Linked DNA regions of Danio rerio. The protein of the gene in region 2 interacts with the protein of the main gene of each other region in a biochemical or structural test. Links are inferred from orthologs where the notes say so. Each region holds a gene or a part of one and is shown on either strand. Other genes may lie near its edges.

Evidence for each region.
Region 1: the proteins of waca (region 2) and rnf40 form a complex in vitro, tested with the Homo sapiens proteins (2 studies listed by BioGRID). The link is inferred for Danio rerio from reciprocal best matches to the Homo sapiens genes WAC and RNF40.

The regions. Positions count from the first base shown.
Region 1 is NC_133187.1:30,765,280-30,772,251, forward strand, and holds the end of rnf40 (E3 ubiquitin-protein ligase BRE1B), read left to right. Parts: intron 1-1,864; coding exon 1,865-1,990; intron 1,991-2,131; coding exon 2,132-2,272; intron 2,273-2,356; coding exon 2,357-2,458; intron 2,459-4,152; coding exon 4,153-4,329; 3' UTR 4,330-5,059; downstream 5,060-6,972.
Region 2 is NC_133187.1:25,083,326-25,091,574, forward strand, and holds the start of waca (WW domain-containing adapter protein with coiled-coil), read left to right. Parts: upstream 1-3,527; 5' UTR 3,528-3,716; coding exon 3,717-3,757; intron 3,758-3,935; coding exon 3,936-3,969; intron 3,970-4,761; coding exon 4,762-4,948; intron 4,949-8,249.

The sequences.
Region 1 (6,972 bases), about 5.7 Mb from region 2:
TTTTTATAATCATAAAGTTGTGGGTTGTATTAACTTGTTGACTATGGCTTTGTTCAAAACATCCCAAAAGTAATTCTTGACAGACATTTACTTGTGCCTTACAGTGGTCTACTGATTGACAGCTAAATGGAGAGCATTGGTGTTAATAAAGTCAATACTTAATTATTACAACATCAATATATTTTACTAATTTCAAGAGTTCACACCTAGCTGATGATTAATTACAAAGTATGTTTGGCATGCTGGCGCGGGAGGGAGTCGTGAGCTGATAAGGTCTTCGAGCCCAGGGCTCCCTCCCTTTGCATGGCGAGAGGGGAGTTTGAGCTCAGGTAGTTCTCAAAAACTTCCCTGCTGTAGTAGCTAATGAACGGATAGGGATTGCTATTAAGATATAACTACCTACTAGGAGCACATCTATGATGCCGATTTTGGATTTAGTCAGTTGATTTAGGTTGTGTGTTTTTGGATGGTGAGAGGAAACCAGGGGGCACAGGGGAAACCCACGTGAGTACGGGGAGAACATGTAAACTCCACACAGAAATGTCGGCTGGCTTGGTAAGGACTAGTAATGTTCTTGCTGTGAGGTGACAGTGCTAACCACTGGGCCACTGTGCCACCCATCTAAGAAAGGAGGAGCAGTAGGGGCGGAAGAGGGGATTTCTCTAAACGAAGATGGCAGTGATATGGAACTTAAGGTATTTATAGTGACTAAGGAATCGTCTGATTGGTGAATCCTGAATTGGCTAATGCATGACCAGCTGTGTTCAATCAGAAGCGTGTGTTCCTCTTGAAATTAGTTTATAAATAAACCACACAAAACGAAAAAGTGACCAACAACCTCAACTTTCAGATGCAAGTTTATTAATTACCTCACAAAATTAAACACACTGTGGGCAGCGAAACCGTTAACTATATCCTTTTGATGCTTATGATATCCGATAATCCTTTGAGATGTGTAGTTAATTCATTATGTGGCAAGATCATAAGATTATATATAATTAGACTTGGTCATAGTCAATTTTTGTTTGGAACTTTAGTGCACAATTTACGCAATATATGAATGGCCCGTATGATTTCCTTTGAGCGAGAATGATATCGACTGCAACTTCCTGGCGTACATCATTTCTACAAAGTAAGGATACACGAGCCTGATCAGGTGACTTGTAGTGAACTGAACCGTACTGCTCAGTTGAAAAGAGGTATTAAAATGCATCCTTTCTCACTAGCTATTAAGCATGTTGTTTAGGTTAATTCATTCACTAATACAGTGTTTCTTTACCACGTTCCTGGAGGACCAACAACACTGCATGTATTGGATGTCTCCTTTGTCGGTCACACCCATTATAGGTCTTTTAGTGTCTGCTATTGAGCTTATGATCTGAATTAGGTGTGTTTGGTTAAGGAGACAAGGAAATGTGCAGAGCTGGTGGTCCTTCGGGAACGTGGTTGAGAAACACTGCACTAATAGATATGTGTCACTAAGTGGTTCCCAACAAAGTGTGATCAAACAAGAGGATAGACGGGTGATCACAAGAGATGCATGATAACATTAACTGAAAACTGTAAGGCATTTTAGCAAACCACTTAGTATCAGATCGATGAAAAACTCTGTTAATACCAGGTGTAAACAGGGCCCTTAACTACCTTTAATTCAGGGTAAAGTACCAGAAAGTCTAAAGCATCATCCCTACAAAAAGCAAATGTCTAGAAAAAAAATAATTGTGTGAATAGTTTGTCCATCCCTGCTTGAATGGAGGCCTCTCATGTCTTAAGGCAAAAAAGCCTGCACATAAAAGCAGTAAACAACTTCTGTTTTCACAATACTGCTGTGATTGCATCATCTCCTTTTTACTGCCCTTCCCAGGTGGACGCTCAGCTGCTGGTCGTACAGAAACTGGAAGAGAAGGAGGGCGTCCTGCAGAGCACGCTGGCCACGCTGGAGAAAGAGCTGGCGCTGCGCACTCAAGCATTGGAGCTCAACAAGCGCAAGGTAAATCCGGAAAGATCACAGACGCCCACCTCTGTTCTCATGTCCATGACAACCATGACTCAGCTTAACCAACCATTAGTGCACATTTCCAGATGTGTGTGTGTGTGTGTTTAATGCTTGTCTTTCTGCATGATGGCTCAGGCTGTGGAGGCGGCCCAGTTGGCCGAAGACCTTAAAGTACAGCTGGAACACACTCAGACCAAGCTGAGGGAGATCCAGGCCTCGGTACTAGACAACCGCACCGCCCGTGAGAGGGAGAGCGTCAACCTCAAGAAAGCACAGGTACATGGGCATGCGTGTTGTAGATGTGTTTACAGATGAGTGGGAAGAATGTGTAAAACATTGGTGTTCTGTTGCTTATTTCAGGAGGACTTATCCAGACTAAGGCGCAAGCTGGAGAAGCAGAAGAAGGTTGAGGTGTACACGGATGCTGATGAGATTCTGCAAGAAGAAATTAATCAGTATAAGGTGAAGATTTGCTCTTCAGTTATTCATTTGATGTATGTAATCAAAGGTTTAGGCACAGTAAATACTTTTTTTAAAATTCTGGTTCAAAAAGGATATGATCTATAGTGATTGATCTATAGTATGGTGTAAAATTTACTTCATAATTTTACAAGATGTTCAAGTAATTGCTGTTTTTGTTGTTTTGAATAAGATTTACCAAAGAATCCTAAAAATATTCTGCTGGAATTTCTTAAATGACATTTAACACTTATTTTAAATTGTAATCATTTTTCACAATAGTTCTGTTTTGTGTATGTTTTTAATATTGTTATTATTATGTATATAATATACACTTACCAGCCACTTTATTAGGTACACCTTACTAGTACCAGGTCGGAGCCTATATTGCATTCACAACTGCCTTAATCCTTCATGGCATAGATTCAGCAAGGTACTGGAAATAATCCTCAGAGATTGTGGTCCTTGTTGATATGATAGCATCACACAGTTGCTGCAGATTTGTCGGCTGCACATCCATGATGCAAATCTCCTGTTCCATCACATCCCAAAGGTTCTCAGTTGGATTGAGATCTGGTGACTGTGGAGGCCATTTGAGAACAGTGAATTCATTGTCATGTTCAAGAAACCAGTCTAAGATGATTTGTGCTATATGACATGGTGCAATATTCTGCTAGAAGTAGCCATCAGAAGATGGGTACACTGTGGTCTTAATGGGATGGATATGGTCAGCAACAATACTCAGGTGGGCTGTGGTGTTGACACGATGCTCAAATAGAATTAATGGACCCAGATTGTGCCAAGAAAATATCCTCCACACCTTTACACCACCAGCCTGAGCCGTTGATACAAGGCAGGATGGATCCATGCTTTCATGTTATTGATGCCAAATTCTGACCCTACCATCCAAATGTTGCAACAGAAATGGAGACTCATCAGACCAGGCAACATTTTTCCAATCTTCTATTGTGCAATTTTGTTGAGCCTGTGCGAATTGTAGCCTCAGTTTTCTGTTCTTAGCTGACAGGAGTTGGCCCTGGTGTGGTCTTCTGCTGATGTAGCCCATCCGCCTCAAGGTTGGACGTGTTGTGCATTCAGAGATGCTCTTCTGCATATCTCATTTGTAATGAGTGGTTATTTGAGTTAACTCAAAAAAAGTTGGCGTCACTTACACTTTTCAAATATGAACTTTTATAAGCAACTATTTTAAATGAAACCTGACATGTTTATGTCCCTCTAGTGAAAAGAAAAATGCATAGAATCTTATTATAAGACTTGTTTCATTTGTATTAGACTTTTTTTTTCAAACACCATTATGACCTTTTTGCATCTTTCAACATCACTCTAGATTGACATTTGTCACAGTTCTGTCACACCAAAAATTTTACATTGCTGTACTTCATTGGTTATTATGGAGGACATGAATAACAGTAATGAGAGGAGTATCACAGCGACAGCTCTATTAAAATATATATGGCTCCCATTTTACTTCATCGTCTTCATCTTTCGCATCAAGTTTACAAATTTTTGTTCTTTCTTCTTTTTATATAATGTTAAGATTTAATTCTCTAAAGAATTTATATTTGCACTGTTCAATTTGTATGTCATTATAATGGATTAAGCATCTAAACATTTGACTGGAATAGTAACTGTATCACTATTATTTGTGCCTAACCTGACTTTTCTATCTTTTCTAGGCTAAATTGCGTTGTCCCTGTTGTAATACTCGTGATAAGGAGACGGTCCTCACTAAGTGTTTCCACGTCTTCTGCTATGAATGCTTGAAGACTCGCTATGACACTCGCCAGAGGAAGTGCCCCAAATGCAACGCTGCATTCGGAGCAAATGACTTCCACCGTATCTACATCACTTAATTCACTCTGAACCTTTCTGATGGACTTTAAACATTAGATGGGAGAAAAAAAGAAGGGATGGAAGTGGTCTTGAACAGGATTACCATGGTGTGGTATTTTAAAATGCTCTAAAGGGCCGCTTCCAGTCTCATCTGTGATAGGTGGTGCTAGTGACCAAACAGACAGTGACAGAATGGAAACAGTTGTGAAGTAGTCATGGTCTACAGCACGTAAGCCATGCTCCTTCATCGCAGAGGAATCCATTGAGTTGTGTGTTTTTCTGTTTTTCTTTGCATTTTTAAACTTATTGTCGACTCCCCATGAAAAAAAGAGAGGAAAGACTGTATCTGCTTCTAAATATCATAACTTTACAGAACATGACTGACTGATGTTCACACAAATTGTTTTGTTTTGACAATTATGGCCTTATCCGTTTAAATCACACAGTAACTCTATCCAGAAACACAGCCAGTTTCCATGGCGACACTCAATGTTACTGAACCCCTTAAAGTTTAGCAATGAACAGATGTGATGGTACTGGGTGGAAAGAATAGACATGCATAAAATTAGAAACATAGATGGTGTTGCAGTGACTTTTTAAAGGCAAAACAAACATATTCATGCTAAAGTAAACGTCTCAGCCGATTTAGCTTTAGTCCGGTACAGTATATACCCCAACCAGTTCCAGATGTATCCCCAACATGTCAAACTACTGCACAGTTTCTTTAAATAATAAAAGCTGATACAGGTAGTTGTGAACACTTTCTGCTTTGATCTCAAACTAGACAGCAGTTTCCCCTTTGCATTTAAAAGCGAGTGTATAGTTTGTCATGATTGCTTCAAAAATGACTTTAATGATGTTATTGTTGTACTTGGTGGAAAATATACATCAAAACTGGACTTTCCAAAAGCAAAACTCAGAATTACTAGTCTATATGCTGTCTTCCAATGCAATGCATGTTTCTTCAGATGGTTTAAACAGACGTGCTTACTATTAGAAAAGACTCGCAAGTGGAGTCCCGAAGAGGGGAGGGGGAAAAACACGTTTTTTTCTCTCTTGCAAATTTTTGCTCGGAATATATATGTAAATGTTTTTCATCACATTGCGCAATTGACCTTATGTTATTCCCCGCAGCCATGGTTTTTTTCGTTCTGATCATATTAATAACCGTCTTGCTGCTTTTCCTCTCAGTCTGCGTTGTGTGAGTCTGCCAAACACTGAACTGTTGTTTGCTCTCTTGGCCCAGAGACAGTGAATTACGTAGTTGGGTGGGGTGACTTTAATGTGCCTATTTTGCTCAAACATACTTTGTACGAAGAGCCTGGGGTCTCTCGTGCTCTTACAAAAAAGCACTTATTTTCCACATGTTGTGTTGGTTTAAACGCGCGCTGCTTTAGGTTGTTTCCTGGTAAGTTAGGTCTGACATCATATATTCACGTCAATATGACCGCCGCCGATATCATAACGTCGTCGATTTCCTACTACAAGAAAATTGGTTACTCTTCCACTAAATGTGTCACTTCAAAGTAAAAACGAAACTGTTCGCAGACAACGAGTGTGTTGTGAGGCTGCCATCTACGGTGTCCCACTCGTGTTGTGAATACAGAGATTGTATGGCCGTGTTTCAAAAGTTGCCGATGTACACTTTTGAGAACTGAGCTTCGTTTTCATATGTGAAGGATTCCGCTTTACAACACAAGCCGGGATTCTTGACTGTTATACTTTTGCTTAAGTGCATTTGAGGAACGTCAAACAGAAATATTTTAGCCATTCATAATATCTTCATTCACATTTCTGAAAGATTTATGAATCAATGTTTCTGATTCAGGGAAAAGAATCGTTTTATTTGTGCAAAAAAAGGCATGTTGACTGTTTTGGGTTTGAAAATAATAAGTTCATCGTCATTTATTCTGAAATCAAACAACAGTGTATTTTTTTAGAGTAATTTGAATTCTTAGTACATTTGATTTCAGAGCCAATTACCAAAAGAATTCTGATTCTAAATGTTCTAAATATTATGAGAAAGAAATTAAATTCTTATATTTAATACCAGCAGATGAAACATTGCATTGATTCAGAAGGAATTATAAAAGTTTGATTCATTAAGAAAGTTAATTCGTGTGTGAAACAATGGAATATGCCATATGTTTTTTACTGAGAATTAGCTCAGTGTTCATAGGACATTCTGCCATTTATGGAAGCCCGTTGCCGCCACTGACTAATAAAAAAAAAAAAAAAAAAAATATATATATATATATATATATATATATATATATATATATATATATATATATATTTGAATATAAAGTCAGAATTCTGAGTTATAAAGTCACATTTCTGAGTTATAAACTCAGAATTTCAAGTCATAAAGTCAGAATTTCAAATTATAAAGTCAGATTTCTGAGTTTATAACTCTAAATTTTTACTTAATAGCTCAGAATTCTGAGTTGTATTACCTGAAATTCTGACTTTATAGCTAACTTGGAATTGCGACTTTATAACTTTCTGACTATAAGCTGGAATTCTGACTAGGTAACTTGGAAGTGCGACTTTATAACTTTCTGACTAAGCTGGAATTCTGACTAGCTAACTTGGAATTGCGACTTTATAAATTTCTGACTATAAGCTGGAATTCTGACTAGGTAACTTGGAAGTGCGACTTT
Region 2 (8,249 bases):
AAGAGTTGGTCCCCTTTTATTTTCTTTTTTACAAACTTGTGATTAATATGTTTACTATGCCTTTAGTACCTATGTTTATTGTTGAACTAGTGGGTGGTTGGTTGGGGGAAAGCATGTTTATTTTTTATTTTTTGTTTAATTATTATTTTTTGACTGTTGTTTGTTATTGATTTATTATAATTTTATTTTATTTTTAATAAAAAAAATATATTTTCAAGGGAATGTCTGCAAAAATTTCTAATAATAAAAAATTTAAACCAGAAAAGGGCTGATAAATTACACACTGGCATCAATAGATTCATCAAGACCCTTTTAAATCCAAATTGAAAAAATATACTTTAGTACTTTAGTATATTGCTCTTCGTACTAAGAATAATAAATTATCTTCTGGTTTAATGCATCACTGGAAAACACACTTCTTAAACTTTAAAGTTAAAGCTATTAAATTATTCAGAAAATCTGTTTTATTTTGTACATTTCTTAACAGTGTAACATGGAAAATGTGTAAACTTATTCTAGAAGCACATGTGCTCAAGAGCTGATAAAGGACTCGAACAATCAGTGTGCTGATGCACCTGCTTTCATTGTTAGAAAACAGTGTATCCAACAATGATGCTAAAAGAGGATTTTTGCTGTTTAGATATTTGGAATAAACTATGAGCAAATAGTTGAAAAACTTCATGACAATAACTCCAGTTTTTTATGGGGAGAGTACTATAGACACAACATAATGTCATGGAGCTTAATTTTTAGACATTCAGAGAAACAGTATGGATTTGACTGTATTAACACTCTTTTATACAATTTTAATGTGACCTATGACAGTCTTAGAAACCATTAATAACTGATAAACTTTGCAACACATGCACAGATTAACTTTGCAACACATGCACAGATTAACTTTGTAACACAAGCACAGCTGTTGAACCAAACTAAATCATTTGAACCCAATAATGCATGCTTGTACTGCTTCATTAAATTTGTTTCATATCGTAACTGATTAACTTTGCAACATTAAAGGGACAGTTCACCCAAAAAATGATAATCCACTCACTGTTTACTCACCCTGTAGCTGAAAACATATAACCACTGACTTCCATGGTAGGAAAAACAAATACAGCAGTCAATGGTGACAGGTTTTTAGTTTTTTTCACAATATCTTATTTTGTGTTCAACAGAAGAAAGAAACTCTTGGGTGAGTAAATGATGATCAACATTTCCGCCTTGGGTATACTGTCGCTTTAACACCATTAATGAAATTAACCGAAGCAACTTTTAATGGAACTGCCACTAACAGGTTACTTCTCACTTTAAATTTAAGCTATTAAGTTTAAGATGAAGTTTGTATCACTTTTATATTCCTGTTTATGTCAGTGATGCTGCATGGTTTAAAACAATCTGTATAAGTTTGTTTCAGTAGAATTCAAATGTATGAAGTGCACTTTATGTAATCAATATACAAATATCAAGGTAGTAAATATGCTATTTCACTATTTTCACTTTATTATTTATACTGAATTTTCCCACTTTTTAGTTTTTACGTGTACTGTAAGGCAAGGCAAGTTTATTTTTATAGCACATTTCATACACCATGGTAATTCAAAGTTCTTTATTCAAAGAAAGAAAGAAAGAAAGAAAGAAAGAAAGAAAGAAAGAAAGAAAGAAAGAAAGAAAGAAAGAAAGAAAGAAAGAAAGAAAGAAAGAAAGAAAGAAAGAAAGAAAGAAAATACAAGGAAAAAACTAAAAATAAAATGATTAAAAACAGATTAAAATGTGTTAAACAGCTTTTAAAAGAAAAAAAAGAAAAAAAAAGACATATTAGTGTGATCTGTCAGACATAGCACAGTGATCATTCAGTAAAGGCACAGCTAAACAGATGTGTTTTAAGTCTTGATTTGATTGTACCTGTTGTTGGAGCACATCTGATCATTTCTGGAAGCTGATTCCAGCAGTGGGGGTGTAGCTGAAAGCAGATTAACCCTGCTCTGAATGAACTCTTGAAATTTTTAATTTACTGTATAAATCTCAGAGTGCTCACACTGTAAAAAACTATATGACAAAAGTTGGTAACAAATGTTTTTTTTTTTAATTCACCCATTCATTCATTCTTTTCAGCATATGTTTCACGCAGCAGATGCCCTTCCAGCTGCAACCCATCACTGGGAAACATCCATACACTCTCATTCACACACATACACTATGGACTATTTAGCTTACCCAATTCACATATAGCGCATGTCTTTGGACTTGTGGGGGAAACCGGAGCACCTGGACGAAACCCATGTGAACACAAGGTGAACATGCAAACTCCACAAAGAAATGCCAACTGACTCAGCCAAGATTCAAACTAGCGACCTTTTTACTGTGAGGCGATCCACTGCGCCACTGTCCCATCAAAATGTTTTTTTATTGTTGTTTTGTTTATTTTTTTTGTTATACAAAGTTTATCTTAATATTTTAAATCAGTTTGACTGATGTAAGTTGAGATGACTAGAAAAGCTATTTGATTCATCCAAAACAAATGGCAGCAAGATTTTTTTAAAGTACAATGTGTTTTTGTTTGGACTGCAACTACAAGTGAACTTATAAAATACAATACTGAAAGGGTGAATAGCACTTTCTTTAGTTTATTAATTGAAGTCTATTATCAGTACAAGTTTTAATAAAACAATATGCAAACTTAAAATACTTATTTTTTAGCTTGGAATAAACAATTTTTTGAAGAGCTGACAGGGTTTTAAATCTGCAATAACTCAAGTTTGAATGCAACTGAAAATCTGTATGACCTGTAAATATCCACCCACACTCTTCATCTCATTTGGCAGAACTGGCACAAAATTTACATGGAAAAACAGACAAAAATCCAGACTAAATGTGCACATATACATTACCCAAGAGAACCTACAGCTCTAATTGCTACTGGCAGATATTTTACGTTTAGAACATTAGTTTTAAAGCCAACTTAATTTATATTAGATTTAAAACACTATATTTTGCAATGAATGGTTTCAAATAACAATCTTGTTTTTTCTCACTTCATATTACCTGGAAGGACTCGGTTCCACTTGTGATATTTTTGACATTGTTCCTGTTGCTGTCTCATTTAAAAAGTGCGCTCACATCATGCATCTTTTCCCAGAATTCCCCAGACTCACTTGTTTTAGTGAGTCATACTGCATCAGGGCCTTTCTGCACTGCATCCATCTTCCAGTACTGACTCAACACGTCCAGTAGATGTCAGTATTGGGTTAAAATTGCTCGCACTGAAAGTCAACACTTTTCCAAACCTAAAATTGAATGAGAATTAAACTTCTTTGTGAGTAATTCAAGCACAGTTGGTTTAGACTTGTTTTATCCCAGTGAACATCCTCACCGATGCTTCGTGTTCACATGCGCTACTTACTTCAGAACTGTATTTGCGGCCGAAATATCCCGACAGTAGCCGAGTGTATCCGAAGCGAGCCCCGAAGTAACCCGGATTGAGGTGTGTGAGGAAGGCTGAGCTTCGCTGTTCTGTAGATAGGGGCAGAGTTTTGGTGTGTGTGTGAGTGGGAGATGGACCGAGGGCGCTCTACTGACTAGCAGAGGCGAAGAGCGACTCCAATAGCCAGAACTATTGAAATAATATACGCGATCGTGTCGTCGATAGCCCACTCCTAAAGCAAAATAAGTCGCCCATCTTTCACATCTACTTCACACACACTAACACGGCATTGATGGTAATGTATGCAAGGAAACAACCGAGACTCGGCGATGGGTAAAGAGCTGTTTTATACTACGATTTTCCTTCTCCGCTTTGACAATCCGCCATTTTTAGCCAAACCAAAATAAGTAGAAACTTAAGGAAGCCGATTCAGCTGTTGCAATTTCTAACAATGTTAGTCAAAATGGGTTTTGACTTTAATTTTGTCTCTCTTTTTTGTTTTATTTCATAGGTGCACCGACCGAAGGGATTCTCAGCCCTATCAGGTAGATCTGAAACAAATAAGATTAAAATGGGGTAAATCTAGTCCAGGCTTTTGAAGCAGTACAGGCCTCTGTGCGTAAAACAGAGCAAAAAAGTGTCGTATTTTTCCGGAGATCAGCTTAAAACGACAAACACGTATATTTTAGGATGTGAACATGAATTTACACTGTCGTAAATCGCTTGCCCGTCGAATTTATCACATTTTAAATGCGCCCAGGGCGCTAGCGACTTTAACAGGCTAACGTTAGCTTGCTAGCGGCTACACCAGGCCTGCGTTTACTGCGAGTTTCATCAAAATTGGTAATATAAAATGTATTATCATGATATTATGGGGCATAATAAGATGTTTTAGAAAAACTTTTATGTCGTAAATATAATTTAAGGCCAAGAGGTTGTTTATAAACAGCCGTCTTGATAGCTAGTTAGTGCAACCATATCCAAATAAAACGAATGCAGTTATCGTGTAAATGATTAAGATATAGTTAAGAATGGCATAATTGTCCTTATAGACTTTCCATGTTACGTTAGTTAACTGAAAAAAGTAAAGATATGGTATGACAACATTAATATACATAATATAGTCCTATGAAATGTTTTATTAATTTAAAACATGTCAGATGTTTGTTTGCTAGTCAAAAACACCTTAGAGTAGCATCAAACATAGTCCTCTCAGGGTAAACAGGCTTGTCAGCTATGTAATATCAGCTATGTCCACTATAAACCAGCTCCTTAATGCATTTGAGAGAGAGTAATTGTGCAGCATAGTTCAATGCAGAAATGTCATGTTTTGACAGACTCTTAAGTACTCATCCAAGAGTCACCCGGATCACAGACATGAGAAGATGCGCGACAGTAATGATGCCACTCCACCATGCAAGATGCTGCGGAGATCAGACAGTCCAGACAATAAACACATGGACAACACTGGCCATGGCAGAGCAAAAGCCATCCATCCACACAGAGGGAGAGAGCGAGAAGGAGGTAAGAAGGGGAAGGCCGGGAGTCATATTGATCGTTTGATTAGATGCACAGGTCTGAGGCTGATACTGGTCATGGATCTGTGTTGTAAACCTTATGGCGTTCTCAATTAGTGCTTAGGTTTTTCTATAGAAACACAACTAGTCAGAAATCATCCTTTTGTGTTAGTCATGTTGCTGTGTTTGGTTAAAGAGACAAAGTTAAATGCATTTCACAGGGATTGCCTAGCTTTCAAATCAGAAATTGTGAGAGATAGAATTGTAATAATTTCATATCACTTGAAAATGTCCTGCAGAATTCCTAATGCTTTTTTGCCAGATCCACATGAGTTTATTGATATGGGAAACATTAAGCATGTTTTTAGCTATGCTAGAATAAATCTGTTTTTTATAGTTCTATTGGATAGTTTAACCAAAAATGAAAATTAAGACTATTTCCTCAGCATCATGTCTTTTGCATACCTGTGCTTGTTTTCTACTGCTCAAGCATAAAATAAAACATACTTTAAGTAATGTTCGGAACCAAACTGGTTTGAAGTGACGGTTGATTTATTATTAAATGGTTAAAAAATTGTTATTCATTTTTATTATTTATTTTATTCTTTTGTTTTAATACGTAGTTTTTATTATTATTACTTTGAAATGTAAGTTATACAATACAATAGTAATACATTTGTTAAAGTTTCTTGAATGAAACTTTATTGAATTAGCTGAACATTAAACAGAATTTCTGTTTTGGCAAGATGTCAAAATAAGATTTTTTGTAAATTAATAAATAGTTTTTTCTTGCATAAACCAATAAAATGTTGGCGACACTTTAAGCAGCTCTACAGATGAAGTTCACATTTCTTTCCGTATCATATGGGCACTCATGATTTTGATCGATCAAATGTTGCTATGTCAAGCTGGCAAGTCAAGTTTAGTTGAGTTTCACTGTGATCATCAGTTTCTTCATATACATTTCATGATATTTTACCACTTGATTCATTTGTTTATTTAGCCATTGATTTCTTAAAGCAGCAGTAGGTGATGGTCTTCAGAAAAAAAATTTGTTGTGCTGGTTAAAAGTCTATAGTAATGATTAAAGTAAATGATCTAAATGTATTTATATGTATTTTTATATTCTTGGGTAAGCCATAAGACAAAAAAAAGTTCATCCAATTAAATATTTTCGGACCTATAATTCCGATAAGAAGCCCAAACTGTCTGTCAACAAATGTAGATTTGAACAACTGCCAACCCGTTCGCGCAGATCGTGCCGTGCGTTTACACGGGCAGTGGACACGAGTGACAGTGCTGAAAACAATCTCATAATCAAAACTTTTTAAAATCCTAGATCAATATTGGAGTTACTTTTGCACTCTGTTGGAATGATGACTCCATGCCTGAAATATTTCTTTTAGACAGGTAATGGTATGTTTTGAAAGCATTTTAGTCATGCAAAGCTGATGTAGATTGTTAGGAATGGGTTATATGGACCCATTAGGAATGGGTTATATGGACAGAAGTGTTGTTCAGCCGCTGAAATCTTCCGGCAAAAGATGATGCAACTATTTTCAGTTTCATTAGAGACCTTTTACAGCATTGATTATTTTTTAGTTTAATAACAAAACATTAGTAAATAGCGCTATTCTGCCTAGCCTGCTTTACTAGGCTGAAGTTGCTTTTATATTCACATCACATTGGTTCATTTTTGAACAGTGACCACCTGTGACACGCTCCCTATATTGTTTACCATGCTACTCTGAATATTCGCTCTGAAACAGCATGTCAGTATGGCTTTGTATTAAGTGTAATTCCTGCATGCTGCCGGCCAATCAATAAGCATACATTAGTCGCTTTAGGACAAAACCTGTGAGATATTAAGACTGTTGAGAGAGTGATAACAGAGGGATGAAAAGGTTTGCTTGCTAACTACACAACTAAAAACATGCTATAAATAATACAGACTTTCATTCAGAACTGTAGTATTATAAAGTACTATAAAGCTTTCTAACTGGCAAATAACATGACCTAGTGGGTCTCTGTCATCTTTAATGTGCGTGTTCATAATTTGAGGAGGTGTGGCCTTGGACGACAGGGGAGGGATTGTGTTTCAAAGATGTTATGCTAACCGCTTAGCATTTAGACCGATCACCTACTGCACCTTTAACTCTTCAATTCACTGAGTTGGAAAATAGAGACCTCAACTGTATTAGTATCCAGAATAAAGTACCAGAACAAGATTATTTAAAGTGCTTAAGTCAGATCTGCTGTAAATAGTCTGAAATTCATTAATTTCTATGAGATTGTTCTTTTGTTATATAAAAATATAGGTACAAACTGTTTTTGATGGATCACGCTGATGTAAACACTTGTGCATGAATGCAATTATACATAAGATCTTTTAAAAAATGTAATTTAATAGGATTATCATGTATACTGTTGTATTGTTATTGTAAACGCATTACTCTTGCTAAGTTTTTGTAAGTAATCTATATTGATTTCTAGTATTAAACTGAAACCTCAAATGCAAGGCCTTTCCTTTAGGGAAAAACATCCGCAATAAACAACTTTTTTGCATGTCTTTCCAAAGGATAACACTTTTGTCACATTAAGTTTATTTACAGAGAATGTAATTGTATTGTTTAATTTCTGTCAAATTTCTTACTGAATATAAATATTATTACTGGTAAATTAATGAATAGGAGCAATTTCAGCGTTATGGATGTGACATTTGCAGTGAAATCTCAAAACAAATTTACATAGAAAGTAAGTCAACCTTATAATAAAACATACTTTTATGTTTTCCAAAACTATTAACCACAGAGTTATGGGATCAGAAAAATATCCGTTTGTATACATTTTTTTATATTTTAAATCAGGGGTCACCAATCCTGGTCCTGGAGGGCCAGTGTCTCTGCAGGGTTTAGCTCCAACTTGCCTTAACACACCTGCCTGGACGTGTCAAGTATACCTAATAAGACCTTGATTAGCTTGTTCAGGTGTGTTTGATTAGGGTTGGAGCTAAAATCTGCAGGACACCGGCCCTCCAGGAACAAGTTTGGTGACCACTGTTTTAAATGAACGAAATAAACATGCGTTATGGCTGTGACACAAAAAGTCAGCGAGTTTACAGTCTACAACATACTTTGCAGAAATTTTGTGAATTAAACCGCTCAACCCAAGTGAAATAATGCTAATCAAAAGGAGAGGAAAAAGCTTGGTTATGGATGTGACATGAATTTGGCACTTGTGACTTTAGTAAATCAAATATAATTGTTTGAAAACATTGACAGATATTTGAGTTTTTTTACAGCACTGTA